2 linked regions of the Macaca fascicularis genome follow. The protein of the gene in region 1 purifies or fractionates together with the protein of each later gene. This does not show direct contact. Links are inferred from orthologs where the notes say so. Each region holds a gene or a part of one and is shown on either strand. Other genes may lie near its edges. The genes, in order: SDHAF1 and SDHB.

What was found.
Region 2: the proteins of SDHAF1 (region 1) and SDHB purify together in Homo sapiens (co-immunoprecipitation; 3 studies listed by BioGRID and IntAct, with this or other methods). This does not show direct contact. The link is inferred for Macaca fascicularis from reciprocal best matches to the Homo sapiens genes SDHAF1 and SDHB.

The regions. Positions count from the first base shown.
Region 1 is NC_088393.1:43,235,675-43,238,960, reverse strand, and holds SDHAF1 (succinate dehydrogenase assembly factor 1, mitochondrial), read right to left. Parts: upstream 1,713-3,286; 5' UTR 1,626-1,712; coding exon 1,278-1,625; 3' UTR 601-1,277; downstream 1-600.
Region 2 is NC_088375.1:218,109,016-218,112,828, reverse strand, and holds part of SDHB (succinate dehydrogenase [ubiquinone] iron-sulfur subunit, mitochondrial), read right to left. Parts: intron 2,658-3,813; coding exon 2,556-2,657; intron 1,315-2,555; coding exon 1,192-1,314; intron 1-1,191. UniProt on the Homo sapiens protein: Iron-sulfur protein (IP) subunit of the succinate dehydrogenase complex (mitochondrial respiratory chain complex II), responsible for transferring electrons from succinate to ubiquinone (coenzyme Q).

The sequences.
Region 1 (3,286 bases):
CCTCCTCCCCACAGCTACATCCACAAGAACTCATTTCCACTTACTTAACTGACATGGGTGCAAATACAGCTCAGTGATGCAAACTGCATCCCTCCACAGAATGTCTAGGGCAGGCCCATATGGGGACACAGGAGGGAGTATACCTGTGATCTATGGGGTTCATCTCCCCTCCCCTGCCCCAGGCCTTGTCGTTCATTGTAGCTGAGGCTGGACCCTTCAGCTGTGTTTGAGAAATTTCCAGGTCTGAGACCCCCACTACTGCCTCAGAGGCTTTGAGCCAGTTCTCAGCTCCACCATTTCCTGTCCCACACAAAGATGTTAAACAACTTGCCCTCCATTAGGGAGCCAACTGGGGTATCTTTGGGGGTTAAGCCAGGATGAACCCCCTCCACAAATCTGCCCAGGGGAGAGAACTATGCTGCTTCAATCAATGTGCCAGTCTAGAGGACTCCGGAGGGAGTCAGATTCCCACACCTATTACCTCCCAGATGGTCCCTTCCAGGTGTCTGTGTGTGTGTGCGGTGGTGGTGGTGGGGGGGGGGGGGGTGTTTCAAAAATCCTCAAATATATAAAAGCTTTAAGACCACCAACAGGAAAGTAGACATATCCCCAATTTTATTCCCTTTGTCCAACATTCTGAGAGGGAAGGGGCAAATGAGTCAACGTTGCCCCTCAAAACCATCAAGTAGGGCCCTTTAGTTGATCAACCAGGGTGACAGACCGCTAGCCCCTTCCTCGTGGTCCTGGCTTGTCACAATTAATGGGGGAAAGTTTTCCCAAAGGGGATTCCGGGCTTCTCACCGCTTGATCAGGGAACCTTCCCAATACTTTCTCAGCAAAAAGTCTGCACTTCTCAGAGTTAAATATAGGAGAGGGGAGACTCGAGGAGCCAGAGGTGGGTGTGTTCTCAGGGGTCAAGAGAAGGGTGTCTCAGGCTCTCCCTGTCCAGCAGGGGGCGTCCTGGCTCCCCGTACCTTCGGGCAAGTAGCTCTCGGCTTGACACTGTCCAGCCCGCCGGCGTCCCAGGCCGCCCCAAGCCCTCATACGGGAGGAGCGCCGACCTGTCTCCAAGCACCGGAAAAGGTGGGCCTCTCTTGCCGTCCATCATGAGGCTCTCTAGGCCCCCTGCGTCGCCAAGGGGCAGTCTCTGACATCCCCAATTCGTCGAGCTAGTCTCTCGAGATCTCTCACCTTAGGCGGGTTCCCCAGGCCCCCCACGCAGTCAGGCGAGCCTCCTGGCTCCACCACGCCATCGAGCGAGTTCGGCTCTTCGCCAGTCACCGTCCGTCGGGCCGGGTCTCCGGTGCCCCCGTGCTGTCGTGGGGGTTCCTTGGACCGTCGCCGTCGTCAGGCTGGGAACCCACGCCGCCAGGCTCCTCGGTCGGGGCCCGCGGGCGTACGAAGGCGCCCATGGCGGTGGCGTGGCCCGAGCGTAGCAGCTGCAGCTGGCGCCGCCCGCGGCGGTACAGGTACTCTATGCGCAGCACGTCGGAGCGCGGCAGGCCCGCGTGCTGCCGGAACTCGGCCCGCACTCGCGCCTCGGCGCCCGGTTTCCCGCGTCCGGCACGCAGCAGATCGCGGTACAGGCTCAGAACCTGCCTCTGCAGCCGGCTGTGCCGGCTCATGACCGCGGCTAGGCAGAGACGCTCAGCGAACTCCCTGCTAACCGCCGAGCCGCCACACAGCGAGCCAAGGCCAAAGGGCAAAGCCACAGCCACTTCCGCCCTGCGCTTCCCTTGGCCCCCAACTCCCGCCTCCCGCCATCCGGCGCTGCCGCGTCTGATTGGCTGTCGTTGCTGTTGCACCACAGCGGGCTGGGAGAAGTGGGCGGAGTCTCTGGTCGCGGCCTCCCCTGTAGGGAACACGTGTTCTTGAAGGGACAGCAGTTCTGGGGATCCTGGCACCTGCGTGTCGTAGGAGGAGGTCGCTATGTGTTCGGACTCCTAGGTCTTGGGTCGGAGGGAACAGAGAGTCCTGACCTAACTCCTGCGTTCTGGGAGAAGAGGAAGCTAGGGTTTGTTTTTTTGTTTGTTTTTTTTGTGACGGGGTCTCACTCTGTCGCCCAGGCTGGAGTGCAGTGGCACGATCTTGGCTCACTGCAGCCTCGAACTCCTGGGCCCAAGCGATCCTCCCACCTCAACTTCCCGAGTAGCTGGAACCACAGGTGCGCGCAACCGCGCCCCCTATTTTATTATTATTATTATTTGCAGAGATGGGGTCTCGCTATGTTGCCCAGGATGGCCTCGAACTCCTGGGCTCAAACGATTCTCAGCCTCCCAAAGTGTTGGGATTCCAGGCGTGAGCCACTGCGGCCTGCTACGGGTTCGGACTTTGGGTCCCAACGGCGTGGAGCACTGGGAGAGACACTGGGCACAAGCGTGCTCTTGCCGTCAGTTACTGATTGAAACCATCTCGGGAATCTCCGTGCGTTCCCTCGTCCGGGGCAGGTCTGTGTCTGGGGTCCCAGCCCTAGGCACGTGCAGAGGGACGAGGCCCCGTAGGGAAATGGCTCTCGGCCGGTTGGACAGGCTTCTCCGTGCTAGGGGAAGACAAGCAGAGGGGGTGTGGGCGCCAAGCCCCCAGAGGCAGCGTGTGGCTCTAGGAGCTGGGTTGGTCGCGCCCTCTGCAGGTGGGAGTCGGGGCACTGGGCAGCGGTGTTTGGGTCCTCACGGACTGTTAAAGCCGGGAGTCTGGGACGCCCTGAACAGTGGACTAGACTGGCAGCCCGTTGTCCTCCCAGGAGCTTCAGGTCGTAGGCCGCAATGCCGTTGTTGTCCCCGCGGGCCGCTTGGAGGCGTCCTGGTAGCGCCAGGGAGGCCCGCAAGGACACAGCATCCTCAGGCCCCACCAGCACCGGAGCTTGGGGGACCGCTCGGTGACAACCCCAGACCCCTCCACCCAGCGTGCAACTGCGGCTCACACACTTGGGCCGGCAGCCAGCTGGGGGTCCGTTCCTCTTCAGAGAGGAGAAGCTGGTCAGGGGCGGAGATTAGGCTTGGAGTTTCGGAGTCAAGGGAGAATCAGAAACCACTGTGAATCCTGCCTGTCGGGTGTATGTATGTCTATCAAAAATACATGTCCTAGAGGCCGGGCGCGGTGGCTCAAGCCTGTAATCCCAGCACTTTGGGAGGCCGAGACGGGCGGATCACTAGGTCAGGAGATCGAGACCATCCTGGCGAACACGGTGAAACCCCGTCTCTACTAAAAAATACAAAAAACTAGCCGGGCGAGGCGGCGGGCGCCTGTAGTCCCAGCTACTCGGGAGGCTGAGGCAGGAGAATGGCGT
Region 2 (3,813 bases), on another chromosome or scaffold:
AACAGAGACCCTGTCTTTAAAAAAAAAAAAAAAAAAAGGGGTGAGAAGGGCCGGGCATGGTGGCTCACGCCTGTAATCCCAGCACTTTGGGAGGCCAAGGTGGGCAGATCACCTGAGGTCGGGAGTTTGAGATCAGCCTGACCAACATAGAGAAACCTCATCTCTACTAAAAATACAAAATTAGCCGGGCATGAGTGGGGCATGCCTGTAATCCCAGCTACTCGGGAGGCTAAGGCAGGAGAATTGCTTGAACCTGGGAGACGGAGGTTGCGGTGAGCCGAGATTGTGCCATTGCACTCCAGCCTGGGCAACAAGAGTGAAACTCCACCTCTAAAAAAAGGATAAGCTTGGGCTCCCTTTCTCTTGCCCTTCTGCCTTTTGCCATGGGGTAATACAGCATGAAGGTTCTTGTCAGACGCTGGTACCAGCCTCTAGAACTGTGTGTCAAATAAACTTCTTTGTAAATTACCGAGTCTGTGAAATTCTGTGATAGCACCACAAAACAGACTGAGACAGAACCTGGCCAAAGGGCAGCCAGTCTGTAGCCAGCTGTGGCCTCTGATGTGCAGGCATGAGAAGCTGAGCTGGGCCAATGTGACACCCTCTTGGGAACCTGTGCTGAGAAGTGCTGGGAGCAGATGGCGGGTGGCTGAAGCTGGAAGTGTGCTGGGAGGCAGAATCCAGGCCAGAGTGAGCCAAAAGCAGCAGCAAATGCAAGCAGGAAAAGGAACGAAAGTCAGAGCTTTGAGTCAGAGAAAACCTCCACAGAGCGGAGGGAAAGAACAGGCGGCTGGAGAGCCGGCAGATTCGCAGCCAACATCACAAGAAAGAGATGGAGAAGAAATGTGGTCCTCACAGCTGCCCGCATTCTGATGGCTTTCGCTTTCTGTTTCCTATGAAGTCAGGCTGAACGCAGGTACCTGCTCATGGGTTCCCGTGTATCCTTAACTCCACAATGTCCCTGTGTAGCCCACAAATAAAGCCTGCTCCTGAGCTGGCCCGAGTCAGTCTACTTCTTGCAACTAAGAGCCAAACTAGCCCCTAGGTTCACACTGAAGGGACAGGCACATGCTGCTCCCTTTTCATCTCAAGTGACTAGGGTTGCTCTCCACCAATCGCCTCTTTGTGAGCACATGCTACCTCTGGCATGTCAGCTCTGAGGCAGAGCTGAGGGTCACCAGCCCCACGTACCTTAGGACAGGTCCTTGTGCAGTTCATGATGGTGTGGCAGCGGTATAGAGAGAACGGGTCCTGCAGCTTGGCCAGGCGCTCCTCTGTGAAGTCGTCTCTGGAGTCAATCATCCAGCGATAGGCCTGGAAAACCAGGGACTGATTAGCTGAGCTGCCAATCAACAGGCCAAAGCGGTACCCTGGCTCAACTCAAAGCTCTGAGAGTGCACAGGAAAGGCAATTCACTCAGGTTAGATGCCTCATCTCCACACTCTAATTCTTGTCCATCTTTCAAAGAAAGGTTCCCAACACGTGTAGCTCCACTTGATTAATGGTCCCTGCAAACCTTTGATCCATACTGCACCTGGTACCCGGGTGCTTCATTATACACACTGGGCATCATCTCCTAATTATTTCATGTTGCTTAATAGCTTCCTACCCAGCTCATAATTTGGTGAAGGCAGGGACTGTATCATATAACCCTCTTATCTGTCTTTATGGCACCTACCCATGCTGGACTCGCTGTCTCTGAGTAAAGGAATGATTTAACAGACCTGTCTACAGATAGTATTTGTCCCACTTAACGATTCTTTGAATTCGCACAGCCCTCTCAGCAGCCTGAATCAGAAGCTGAAACGAATTAATCACATGACCATGGACCTGCTCTAGCAGTGTTACTTAGAGGACCTCTACATCCCCAACAACTCGGAGCAGCTGGTAAAGTGACAAGTGTAAGCGTACTTCATTATTCAATCTTTACATGGCTGGGAATCAATACTGCTCATGTGGTCACACAAACCTGTAACTTCTCTTTCTGTGGGAAAATGAGAAAGAGAAGTTGGTTTTTGAGTTGCTTACACTATGAAAAGCACACATCTAAAAAAGCACAAGCTTTCTGGGAACAAAGACAGTGACTTTCTTTGCAGTGAACACCAATACTATTTTCTTTCTAGGCAACCCCTAAATCCAGGCTTTCATTAGCTGGGAAACAGCTTCTAATCTCATAGCTGGGCAGCTGCCCTTCAAAGACATTGCTTTCTCCCCTGCTTGCACACTACAAATCTTATGTTACAAATCCTATGAGAGGGGGACGGGGAGCCTCTGACCACCAGGCATACGGAAATACGTTTTAAACATCTGCAAGGCATGGTTTGCCACCCCTTGGGGTGACTCTTACCACACTGAAACAAAGGCAATTTGCAGACAAGGCCCCAGATTTACCGAAAGCAAGTGAATGCAATACAACCAATTAGCCTGTTTGGACTGGATGGCAATGAAGGAAACCAGGCCCCTCAGAATGGCCGGCTTACAGCTGTCTATTGTCCTCTTGGACTTCTGGATGCTTCAGTATCAATTTCTCTTAAAGCAATTAAGGGGAACCTCACCTGCATAAGAACTGCAGGCCCCAGATATTTGTCTCCGTTCCACCAGTAGCTGGGGCAGCTGGTGCTACAGCAGGCACAGAGAATGCACTCGTAGAGCCCGTCCTATATGGGGAGAAAGAAGAGGCAGGAGCTTGTGAGGGGAAAGACTCTGCTATGTCTTCAGCTGATTAAATGTGACCTTTGGGGTCAGTGCATGAATAAAATGCCTGCTTGCATGTGAATTTTCTTGGCAAAATCCAAGGTGTGATTTGCAGATATTTAGCAGATTAATAAAGATCTTGCAAGTGAAATGTAAACATCTGCCCAGGGTTCTTAAGTCCACGTATAGTGCACTTTCCCTTCAATAAACAAGAACCTCTCACTTGTCTAAAAAAGAAATAGAAAACAAGAACACAAAAACAACTCCCATCAATTCCAACTTCCTGGAATGCGGTCAAGAGGGGAGAGATTCAAAAGCCCGGGGGCTGAAACAGCAGAAGTCTATAGCTGCTTCTGCCCTGGGCTCAGCAGAAGGGCCCTCAGGTTTTCACTGGAAACCTCAACATCATCCCCAGTGACTGCCACTGCCAATCCTGACGGAGAGCCCTGAGCCTTACACACTTTCCTCAACTGATCATCACAGTAATCCTGTGAGGTGAGTCCAGCAAGTTCCACTTACAGGTAAAGACCAAGGCACAGAGAGTGAGTTAGGCCATGTGCCCAGGGACGTGCCACTGTAGGCAGCAGAATCAGGATGTGGCCCCGGCAGCTGGCTCTGGCTTCCTGCACTTTCACACCTGTCACACTGGCTCAATCTGCCCAACAAGTCCGAAACACAAACCGGGCTTTCTGAGTTTGGAAACAACAGAAATGGATTAAAAGCAGCAAAACGAAAGGGGCCCACTGACACCTGAGGTGACAGTTGAGAACAGATGAGACAGAACCGATGGTTGTGACTGAACCATGAGTCTTCAACCAAATCTATTTGGTTCAGCTGTTCAGACGGCTGGTGGGAGTGTCAACTGGCCCCATTGGGCTAGAAGGCATAAGGTCATAGGATTAGGGGTCTTTAGAATAGTCATATTCTTTAACCCACTCCTAGAAAAATCTGTAAAAAGAAATTAGAATGTTTTGGGGCAGAACTTGAAGGATAAAGATGTTCATCTAGCCTTATTTCTAACAGTAAAAAACTGGAAACAATTTCATTGTCCAGCAATAGTGAAATGGTTTTATAATGCATGGTGCATACATCTGAAGCAGTAGAAAGCAAAGTGTAAGT